Kluyveromyces lactis: one gene and its partners. The protein of the gene in region 3 interacts with the protein of the main gene of each other region in a pairwise test. Links are inferred from orthologs where the notes say so. Each region holds a gene or a part of one and is shown on either strand. Other genes may lie near its edges.

Region 1 (2,554 bases), about 420 kb from region 3:
TATATATGTATATATATATATATTATCAAAAGGGTGACTATACTAGAAATACGGCTAGCAAGCTTAGACGCAACCAGATCGAGGTTTTCGACTGGTATGAAGTTTGTTCTTGCATTTCGGCAATTACCAGAGCGTATTGAAGATTAAACTTTTCGGCACGTGTGGCATGTGTCTGTACAAATGTTTATATAAAGTGCGCATATCAGAAACAGAAGTCGGGGTCAAAGACACCAAAGAGGTGTCAAACAAAACGTGTTGTGCAGAGTCTAATCATGCTAATGGTTACTCTAATATCAACTCGAGATTTAGATTACATTACATTAAGACTAATTACACGAAGGAGCGTAGTTTCTTTAGATTTTCTATGTAGGTGTGTTAAATTAGATTTGCTTGAAGATTCGTTCCGAGATGTATCTATACGGTATGGGAACAATCCAACGCTAATACGCGTGTTTTCTGACGGTTAGCGTGAAGAAAGTAAGGGAAGGGCAAAAGACAACAAAATCTATTTGTTCCCTTCCCTTTCAGTCGTATTTGATGAGACGCATGCTTTATCAGTTAACAGTTACATGAGCTAGGTTCTCCGTCCAACTGAATATTGATAGCTTCGCTTAGGTCGTCCTCATACGCATCCGCATCAGATTGACTTTGTTGTAATGCGCTGCGTGCGATTTCCTCAAATGCGTCCTGGACATTAATGGAATCCTTGGCACTAGTAAAGAACAGAGGTACGTTTCCCAAGGATTTAGCTTGCTCCTGCGCAGATCTAGAAGAAACCACTTTTTTCGATTCTTCTACGTCAACTTTATTAGCTAGAATTACAAATGGGAAGGTTTCTGGCGAGGAGACGTTCGCATGAACCAAAAACTCATCTCTCCACGACTTCACATTATCGAACGACTTACCATTGGTCACATCGTATACTAACACGCAACAATCAGCACCTCTGTAAAATGCAACACCAAGCGATTGGAATCTCTCCTGACCAGCAGTGTCCCATACTTGCATCGTCGCAACCTTATCGTCATTCACAATGACTTCCTTGGTAAGAAAATCTGCTCCTATCGTAGCCTTATATTGTTGAGAATACTTGTCGTTGACATATCTGTGCATCAAAGATGTCTTACCAACACCCGAATCACCTAGAATGATAACTTTTAGAATATTCTTCTTCCTAGACATGGTAATTTGTGACTAAAAAGTATGAATAAAGGTCCGAAGGTATACCTTGTATGCTCTTTTTCTTTTCTCCTTAAATTTGAAGATAACCTATGATGATTAACAAGGACAAACTATTCTATCGTATTTTTTTCCTTAGTATATAAAACGTTCACCAGAATATCCAATATAACGTATTTCTTATAACGAGGTGTAGTTTGCTCGATCACTGCAGTTGTCTATGATCAATATTATTCGTTTTTTAGCCAAGAAAACATCATTAATAAAGAATGTAATGTGTTATCGTTATTAACAAATAATTACTCTGAATTGAATAATAAGTTCATCCTTTCATATGGATTTCAATATTTACTTGACTGAAAACCATAAAAGTCAAATGTGTTGAAGCAGACACTGAGTTTATTACCCTGACTAATCAGGGTAATGCACCACGATAAGCATCCCTGCATCACACTCGTTGCGAATACTTGCTTATTAAATGTAGACAGAAAAAAAAAATGTGTCAGCTCTTACTAAAGGGAGAGGAACTTTATTGCAGGACCCGATGAGAGCTTATATAAGATGAGTAAGTTGCAAAAGGATCAGCACTCCCTCAGAAATATCAATGTTATTATACATCATTATACATTATTATACATTTTGAACATTTGTCATTGTTCGAAAGTATATTTTCTTGTGTCTGTCTTAAGGTTTTCATCTTAGGCTAGTCATTTGTATTGGTAATTCGGGGTAAGGCATTGGTACTTTGATTTGGATTTTAAAGTATATAAAGGATACGAACTATCGATTAGGTCTAAAATTTTGCAAAATTGGAATTCAATTGAGTGGTAAAATTGTAGAAGTCATTCTAAATTGTATGCTCCAACAATTAAGCTTCAAGTATAACTTGTCAACACCTGTGTTAGTTCTGGTTATATCGATTGCAGTTTATTATTTATCACCTAGCTCATCGGTCTTACAAGCCTTGGAAAAGAGTAGAGATCAGCGTGTTATGTCTTCATAGATGGGTTTGAACGTTGTTAGTAAGGTACGTTCTGTGTTGAAACACTTTGTTGCCATTGAGCAGAGTGAGGGTGCTGGTGCCCTTGTTAAGAGGTCCATTGGGACTATACAGATGAGAAACTTTCCACCATTCTTAATGTTGGATAACTTCGATGTGTCTCCACCTGCCGGGTTCCCGGAACATCCACATCACGGTCAAGAAACCATTACTTATGTATTGCGCGGTATGATGGCACATGAGGATTTTACTGGTTCTAAAGGAGTTCTACGGTCTGGTGATTTGCAGTTTATGACTGCAGGCAAAGCGATTGTCCATTCAGAAATCCCCGTTAAGATGGATAACGGTGAATCCACCCAGGGTTTACAACTTTGG
Region 2 (2,439 bases), about 330 kb from region 3:
TGATAGAAGACAGAATCGCCGAGGCTAAACTTGTTAACACCGAAGGTTTCGTTTGGTCCAAGGATGCAAAGAAGTTTAACTCTATTGTTGGACCAAACGGTAGAAATATCAGAGAAATCAGAAATGCCACTAAAACTGTTATCCATGTTCCAAGAAAAAGCGATAAGGTTAACAATGTTATATATGTCCTAGGCTCTGAAGAAGGTGTGAAAAAGGCAGCTGAATTGATCTGCAAGAGATTAAAATAGTTTTAATGTTTTCACTTTGTCCGTTCCTTTGATCCAATTCTTGTATTTATTTCCTCTATTGGTGTTCAACGCTGCACAGATTAGCACTACATAAGCTTACATTAATACCACATAATTAATCATGTATACTGAATACACTTAAAACCTATATCAAAAAATGTAAACAAAACTATTTCTTCAAAATCCTCGGTTGTTCCTCAATGTTAAAGATTTATACGGGCTAGCGTGTGTTTCATGGTTATACGTAAACGTATATATATATTTATTGTGGCCTGAAGATCTATATGCAGGCATACGAATAAAGCCGTCTTCATGAGCAACAAGACTGTGAATCATTTGTACTTGGTCTTTGCAATGATATATTATTATTATTAGGTTTCTTCGATTCCTGTATCTTATCTTTGTTCTGCAAATATAATCTTTCACCAATATCTTGGAAGACTTTGATTACGTTTTCTCCAGTCTTAGCACTGACCTGGTGGAACAACAAATTATTCTCTTGTGCAAACTCGCGTGCGTCCGCTTCATCGACTAAAGAGGTCGATTCCCTTTCAGATACTAGATCCAACTTATTCCCCACAAGACAGATGATCAACTTATCGTCATTTACCTTTTCTTTCAATTCATCAACCCAAAGCTTGGCCTTAGGCAAAGAATCTGGTTCAGTGACATCGTACACAACTAAAGCGGCATTTGCATTACGATAGTACATAGGTGCCAAAGATTTATAGCGTTCCTGACCGGCCGTATCCCAAATTTCAAACTTCAAAACTTGTTCATCATACTCTTCAGATAATTTAATAGTTTGTGAAAGAAAAGCTGCACCTATAGTCGATTCCCTGTACTCATCAAACGAGTCTTTGACGAATCTATGAACAATACTGGATTTTCCAACAGAAGAATCTCCCAACAATACTAATTTGAACTGAAGCATAATTTATGGGAAGTAAATTGCGATATTTTAGAAAGAATCAGCAGTATAGGAAACCTGGGGTTGATATTGGTGAATGCTCGAAACAAAATGTCCAATACGACTTCTACCCGCGGTTACTCGTTCCAGTTTCTCTACTTTTTTATCTTTTTATCTGGAAGGGATGAAACCTGTTGATTCTGAATTTAAAGGTTTCAATGACTGAAAGCCTTTAAGTTGGATAATACGAATTGTCGATCACGTGATTGGTAATTTGAGGGGAGTTCGTGACGTTTAAAACAATGACAAGAGGCTGATTTGGTTGATAAATATAGTTGGGGTGTGTATTGATTAAATAGAATAGAATAAATAGTAGCTAACATTAATCGAATAGAAGTGAAATGAAGTGAAGTGAAGTGAAGTGAAGTGAAGTGAAGTGAAATGAAGTGAAAGAAGTATCGTGCGCATGCTTATTATCTCATTCAGTAGACATCTTAACAAAGCCCAGCTCGTTAAGCCTTTGGATAGCGGCCCCGATCTTCTCTGCTTCCAAGAGTTGTTCTTCCTCGGGCCAATTATCAGCCTCGGAATCCTGCTCAGCGATAGAAGTCATTGAAGAGTTGGAATTAACAGTTGATGCTGCAGTGGTGGTGTTTGCCGATGGCGTGGGTAGTCCGGAGTAGGTGATGTAATCATGCGATATGGAAGAACACACTGAAGATTCACGAGAAACTGGAGGCAAAGGCTCCAATCTGTGAGTTTCCCTGTTGTGTCTAAGATGTAAAAGATTTAATATCGAAGTAGTAGTGTTCGAGATATTATTGATTGGTGATTCGATCAACTTAATGAAAGAGGAGTTGACGAAGGGGCAATGGAATGAGTTATGTGGCGAGACAAAACAGGTTCTGATATCTTGCCTTAGTTGAGGAGAAGAGTACCCTATCAAAAGCTCCAAGATGTTGAGGATCTGAGGTAATCTATGTTCTTGTAGGGGGCAATACAATTCCTCTGAAGCTTGTAGCAACCAGTCGTTGAACTTGTCCTCGAAAATGCATAAGAATCTATTGACAGTGGTTCTTTCGACGGACAGGTTATGAGTATGTAGCAATAGGTAAAGGGATCCAAATTGGATCAAACAATCTTGAAATCCAGCCACGGAGTTGTATGGTTTTCCACTAAGTTCGGTGAAGAGAGACCAATATACTCGAGAATTGGCAGAGAGATACCCGTAGTTGAAACACAAAGCGTACCAGTATTTACCCAATTCTGTAAGAATTGAAA
Region 3 (3,742 bases):
TGGGAAACAATTAGAATCATTACTGGAGATAAGAAGCCGCCTCTGAGCTTTAATTTAATGTTTTTTCCTCGCTTTCGAGAATGACAATTAAATCAAAGAGCAGTTAAGAAGCCGAACACTATTCTTTTGTTAACTTTATGTATGAGAAGTTAGGTTAATATCATGTATAATCTTAATTAAGGTTTTGCTATTTTTGATTTCCAGGAACTGAAAACAAGTATGAATTTTTCCTGCATCTGCCTTCTATGGATAACTTAAATAACGTTTCGTTTTAAGATTCCCAGGTAGTGGGTTGAATAAAGGTATGTTTATATCAAAGAGTGCAATTCGCAGTAAGAAATACAGCTGGATCCAAAATATGCTTATGTGACGCAAATCTTATCTAGAAGATGTCACTTTTTTCTTTTGTGGATAGATAATTCCATATAATACAAGGTTAGACACATCGGGTTATTTCAATCAATCTGTCAAAGAAGGAATACTGATGCTATTGGAATTGAAAGCATTGTCGCTTGAAAACTTGAAGAAGCTTGACGCTATGTCATATTTCCATCTCGCCTGCAAATTCAACTGGCTCTGAGTCCATCATTTGAATATCTTCTTCATCATCTGCGATAGCACTTTCATCGTAGCTATTAATTGTTTTATTGGTATTTTTTAGATCTGGTTCGTCATTTTCAAAATCAAGGTCGAAGAAATCGTCATCACTTCCTACTATTTTTTCATAAAGGAACTTTGCTGCAGTAATAACTTCATCATATGACACTTCTCCTGATGGCAACGAAGTATAAAGAATTCCATTATCTGATGCGCCAGGAATAAATTCTTTAGATTTATTCAAATCAAATAAGTCTGGAGTAACAATATCAAATGGAGGAGTGGATGTGTATTGAGTATAGTACAATTTCATGATGAAGTTTACCCGTTCTTTTGAAATGAGTTCTTTGAACGACTGTCCCAGTTTTACACTGTTGACTAGTGGAACGCCATTTGAATTGATTTGTACAAGTTCATCCTCATTGGGTATATCCGAGGACTCCCTTAAAATACTATTGATCATTGCTTCAAGTGCAGCATCAAGGTCCAAATCACCTCGAGGACCGGCTTGAGTGGTTGAGAAGTACCAAACGCAAGTACCTGGTTCGCAAACTTCGGCTCCTGAGCCTAAAATCACCACCTGTACGGCTTCAACGTTTCCTGTCTTCAATGAATCAGGTGGGAACACGACCATAGCAGCACTTTCTCCTTCACTGAACCACTGTGAGCAGTCTTTTTCCACAACACAAGTGAGCCTATGCACTTCGTACTTCTGGGGAGGAATGTTACCGCCATTCTGGGGATGTTGGGTAGGGGATGCGACAACCTTTTCTGTGACTCTTACTCTTGAACCGTCTTCAAAAACCGCAGTCTGGGAGTTCGGATCGTATGATACCAATTTATGATTGAGTTTATAAGTGGCACCAGCCACTGCTGCTGATCTGCAGAATCCTTGAGATAGTTCTCCCGGCCCACCATACTTTGAATATAGGACTGGGAAAGGTCCGTAAACGTCAAAACTAGTTAAAAATCTTCTGATCCTTGCTAAACCTTCTGGTGTCTTAGTATCCAGATTACGACACATACCAATTGAAAATATTAATTCAAAAACTTGAGGTTTTTCTAGCTTGAATTTATCGACTAGGAAACTAGCAAGTGGCTGTTCAGCGTATGGTTTCCAAATGTCCGTGCTTTTTTCCCATTCTAGCACAAATTTAATGAAACGCATTAAATTGCGTTTCGTCATCAATGGAAGAGTTTGGTCAGTAAATATTTCTTGTTTCGAGTTCGTTAACCTTTCAAAGTTATCATTCTCAAAGGTATGGAAGTTGGATAACGATTGGAACTCCAAATACTGATGTACTCTTGATTTAATTAGAACTGAGAGTAGATCGGATTGTGCAAATAGAATCTTGGGACTTAAATCAATACCAAAATTCTTGGATTTGAATTTCCCCTGAGCTACCAACCCGGAGACATAGAGTCTGGCATCTTTGTAAAACCGTGTTTCGTCTGAGTCTTCATTCACTTGATTTGTCCAATTCTTCAACTGATCAATTGTCATTGTAGCCCATGTGTCCCCATAATAGTTATTGGAATCTATATGCAAAACGGTGGATCCCTGCCATGCTAAAGAAGCAGATAGAATACTTTCAATCAACCCGGTACCAGCAATGAGTACATCCACTTGTTCCGGTGTAGTTTCCGGTAAAGGATCCTCGATACCAGCCAAATGTGGCACAACGAGGGAAGTTGATTGTAAGGAGCCGTCAGGACCGGGAGAAAAGAAGGAAGGACGACGTTCCGCCATAGAAGGGCGGCGCTCGGCATTCAGCATTTTAATTTTTTTCCGCTTGTAGTGTTTAACCGAGACTTTAGATTAAATATAGCTTATTCTATAACCAGTTCTTATGTCTCTTTAAGGGAAAAGCGAGAGAACAAAAAGTCAGATATGAACGACCTTAGAAATTCCAAAAATAGCCTGATACGGTTCAGAGGTTGGAATTTTACTAGTAATGAGATTATTCACAGGTTCCTGTAATGTTATTAGGAATTCTGTAAAGCCTAATTTTGAGCGGTTTGCAAGAACCAAAAAAAAATTCTCAACCGCCAATATCGCTCAAAGAATGACAAAAACAGCACTCTTTCGATCTGCTTCTTATTCCAGGTTCTAGCTTTAGAAAGGTTGGTGCTTTTCGATAATAACAGTTTATTTGTACCACGTACCTGTGGTATTCTGAGGTGGAAACTTTAATGGATATGTATCTTAGTTACGCCTTTAAAAACTGTATTTAATTCGCACAGATAATGAGTATGTGTTTTCAATTTTTTTTTTTTTTTTTTTTTTATCTTCACGGCTGGCAACGAGAAATTTTTTTTTAAACTCGTGAATCATTTCCCGTTATTATCGACAGAACAATACCGGAAACAATAGCAATCAGAGCCCCAGCTTGAAATGAAATATCGCTTTAAAATGATGTGGAAACTAAACGTGTCAGGGTATTTTTATTCAGGGATCGTTTAAACTTGCTGTGCTTTCAGACAAAACTTTACTATGGTAAAATTACAGCGACAGTGCGACATATTTCATTTTTAGTGCTGGCATGTGCACGTGATAATAATACTGTCGCGTCATATTATCTTATTGTATACAAATTTGAGTTAATCACCTTTTTCAATTGTGAAACTCAGATTCGGAACCAGAATCTAGAATCAGGACAGATATAATGTTTCTAATGCATGGATTTACTGGTAATTGATAACGGATTGCCCAACTCTATACTAAAGCACAGCTCAGTGGTGTTATTAAATGCTTATATAAGTAGACGAAATATTGAATAAACAGGGTAGTAATCGGGAACTACTGAACCATTAAACATTTAGGGTTCGTTGTTGTTCACCTATGACAGATGGCTACCGTAGAACCACTTTTAGAAGCTTTCGTTACAAGCACTTTAGAATAATCGTCTAAACATGTAGACTTTATAGAATCTTGTGGTAATACCACCAAACTCTTATTATTAAGTTCGATGTCATTGAAGACATCAACACTCGCAACTGCGGAATCAGTTTCGTTAGTCGATATAGTTGTAATATCCAATTTTATCAGAATGGAGGATCTGAGAATCTCTTGCAGTTCTCCAAGAGCAACCAGATGCTCTGAAACGGTAACAATTTTGATAGTCTTGGCATGTAATCCCATCAC
Region 4 (2,578 bases), on a different chromosome or scaffold from region 3:
TTTCAATTTCTCATAATCGATATAAGAATCCCTCCATGGGGGATAAGTATCATTAGCTAGCTTCACACCAAATAGCATTGTGCCTTGAATTTAAAAAGACCAAATCCCTCTTTTGACAATATTATAAGGGTTATAATAAACAGCAACCCTTCCTGGTTATAAAGCTGAAGATGGTGATCAGGATTACACTTCTCAATTCAAGATACAAGGAAGCTGAACAAGAAAATAGAAATCTACCCAACTGTTTATTGGCTAAATAAAATCTTTAAGTCCATCCTTATATCTGTTTCTTTATTTGCATTTCCTTCTAATGCACTCTTTATATAATCATCGATGCCCTTATATTGGGAAAGTTGGGCAATTTTATATTGATCTTGAGTGGCACGTGGAGATGGTCATGTGATTATTTACGTCACGTGTAAATCACCTGATTTGGAATGGTCGTGTAAAGTTACCTTTGAACTTTCTAATACATACCATTTGAATATATATATATATGTACACACACAAAGCCAATGCATAGGTTGTTATTTCTTATTGTACGCTCTGATCTGTGGTTTAGCAGCAATTGGACTTGGAGCCTGAAGAGCCTGAGCCACGAATGCTTACATTTCCCTCCTTTTCAGCCTTTCCTTCCATCTTACCATCATCGATCTTTTCTTGGATCAACTTGGCCAATGTGAAGAAGATTTCGCTGACGTTGGTGTCGTCTTTGGCACTGGCTTCAATGAATGGGATCCCTAGCTCCTTAGCAAGAGCTTCACCTTGTTCGTAAGACACGGTTCTTGTATCCATGTCCTTTTTATTTCCGACTAGCAGCATTACTACATCCTCGCTAGCATGTTGGTTAACAGTGGAGAACCATTGTCTGATGTTTTCAAAAGTTCTTTCGTCAGTAACATCGTAAATCAATACAATACCCATGGCACCTCTGTAGTATGCGGTTGTGATGGTTCTGAACCGTTCCTGGCCAGCAGTATCCCAAAGTTGTAACTTCACACGTTTCCCATTGATGTCTACGGTTTTAATCTTGAAATCGATACCGATTGTGGTGATGAAAGTTGGTGTGAACTTATCTTCAACAAAACGAACCAAAAGACATGATTTACCTACACCGGAATCACCTAGAAGTAAAATCTTCATGACAGAATCATAGTTTTTATTCGTGCTGCCGTTAGCAGAAACCGTTCTTAATCCAGACATTATAGTTTCAATCTCCCTTGTTTCCTTCACGCTTCAATTAAGTGAAAAAAATTGATATCACAGTTCAACACTGTTATTTTATCTCGATATATTGGAGGAGTGGCGAGCTGGTTATATCTGGTCAACAGAATCTGGGTTTTAATAGCTCGGCCGTAAAGTGTTTGGGTTAGTGCCTTTCGTGATGGCTATCCTGCTTTCACCCTTTCAAACAATATTTGTCCAAAATCTAGATACTGATCGAATTCGTATATGGTGATAGGCATACCCAATGTCAAGTTAAATTATACGATTTATACTTGTAGATGTACATATATATTCATGTGCATACGCAGCTTGTGGGTCATCTGTGTCGATTGTGCAACTTCTCAGGCGTAGTAACTCCTCCAAAGAACACCTTCCATATCTTCTAATTGCTCCGAGGTGAACTGGTATCTGTCCAAATGCCAGGTATCTGCTCTAACTTTCTTGTATCTAGAGATGATGTTCTTTGCATCAGCACCGCACATACCGCTTGTTCTTGCCCAGGACGCTAGTAGTGCCATATTCTCTGGAATCCAATTTGGTAACGGTGAAACGTACGGGAATGCTTCGATGATGGCACCGAGACCCAAGATCGCACCGTGAATATCTGTGTTGGATTTGGAGAGTGCAGCTTTCTCCTCGAAAGTATATGAACCAAGTTGACGCTTGAAGTTTTCCAAGAGAGTGTGCAAAGTATCGGTATCATAAGATATGTTATGCACGATACCGGCAAGGACATAGGAAGCCTTGAGACGAACCTCTACAAAACTCTTACAGAACAATTTGTCCAAAACGAACTCTAAGATCTTCACTTTACCAGCATGGTCCATAACCAACGATTGTGTGGAGAAAAGTTTCTCTGCTAAAGTCAAATTCACACGTAATTCATGAGAGCTAGTCAAATCTGTGTCATCCAAGATCGAAATTATGTCAGGTAACAACGTGCGGCTTATTGGAATGTATGCAAGTTCCACGTAAATACTGTAAACCTTAATGTTGACCATTTTACAAACATCTCTCATTCTGTCTAACTTCATCAAGAAGGGTGCCAAATAACATTTAGCAAATGGACCCAGACACACTCTAGCACCAGTATTGATTAAATGAGCAGCCCAATAGAACATAGTTGATGCCAAGTAGAAATACCTAGTCTTCAAGATGTCCTGAGCGGGTAGGTCCTTGATCAACAATCTTTCTTTTTCAATTTCGTTGAAGATTTTAATAGCCCTCTCTCTCAACCAGCTTGGGATTTCTCTGATCTCAATTGGACCAGATGCCCCCGTTTCGAGAAGAGACTTCACGTTTGGACGATGAGCATTTGCCTTTATGTAGAAGATAACTGAGAAAAGTTTAC

Evidence for each region. The genes of interacting proteins can lie anywhere in the genome.
Region 1: the proteins of MRS6 (region 3) and YPT7 interact in a protein complementation assay, tested with the Saccharomyces cerevisiae proteins (3 studies listed by BioGRID, with this or other methods). The link is inferred for Kluyveromyces lactis from reciprocal best matches to the Saccharomyces cerevisiae genes MRS6 and YPT7.
Region 2: the proteins of MRS6 (region 3) and YPT52 interact in binary tests that used the Saccharomyces cerevisiae proteins (3 or more experiments, as listed by UniProt). The link is inferred for Kluyveromyces lactis from reciprocal best matches to the Saccharomyces cerevisiae genes MRS6 and YPT52.
Region 4: the proteins of MRS6 (region 3) and SEC4 interact in a protein complementation assay, tested with the Saccharomyces cerevisiae proteins (2 studies listed by BioGRID). The link is inferred for Kluyveromyces lactis from reciprocal best matches to the Saccharomyces cerevisiae genes MRS6 and SEC4.

What each region holds. Positions count from the first base shown.
Region 1 is NC_006040.1:109,412-111,965, reverse strand, and holds YPT7 (Rab family GTPase YPT7), read right to left. Parts: upstream 1,183-2,554; coding exon 559-1,182; downstream 1-558. Other genes in the region: KLLA0_D01243g (pirin family protein), read left to right, coding at 2,183-2,554. UniProt on the Saccharomyces cerevisiae protein: Ypt/Rab-type GTPases are key regulators of membrane trafficking and intracellular vesicular transport.
Region 2 is NC_006040.1:200,255-202,693, reverse strand, and holds YPT52 (Rab family GTPase YPT52), read right to left. Parts: upstream 1,183-2,439; coding exon 559-1,182; downstream 1-558. Other genes in the region: SCP160 (Scp160p), read left to right, coding at 1-248; KLLA0_D02354g (uncharacterized protein), read right to left, coding at 1,637-2,439. UniProt on the Saccharomyces cerevisiae protein: Required for transport in the endocytic pathway and for correct sorting of the vacuolar hydrolases suggesting a possible intersection of the endocytic with the vacuolar sorting pathway.
Region 3 is NC_006040.1:533,099-536,840, forward strand, and holds MRS6 (GTPase-activating protein MRS6), read right to left. Parts: upstream 2,375-3,742; coding exon 542-2,374; downstream 1-541. Other genes in the region: KLLA0_D06215g (uncharacterized protein), read left to right, coding at 1-46; KHA1 (Kha1p), read right to left, coding at 3,434-3,742. UniProt on the Saccharomyces cerevisiae protein: Substrate-binding subunit (component A) of the Rab geranylgeranyltransferase (GGTase) complex. Binds unprenylated Rab proteins and presents the substrate peptide to the catalytic component B.
Region 4 is NC_006041.1:1,073,924-1,076,501, reverse strand, and holds SEC4 (Rab family GTPase SEC4), read right to left. Parts: upstream 1,204-2,578; coding exon 559-1,203; downstream 1-558. Other genes in the region: VTC2 (vacuolar transporter chaperone), read right to left, coding at 1-78; proteasome activator BLM10, read right to left, coding at 1,569-2,578. UniProt on the Saccharomyces cerevisiae protein: Involved in exocytosis. Maybe by regulating the binding and fusion of secretory vesicles with the cell surface. The GTP-bound form of SEC4 may interact with an effector, thereby stimulating its activity and leading to exocytotic fusion.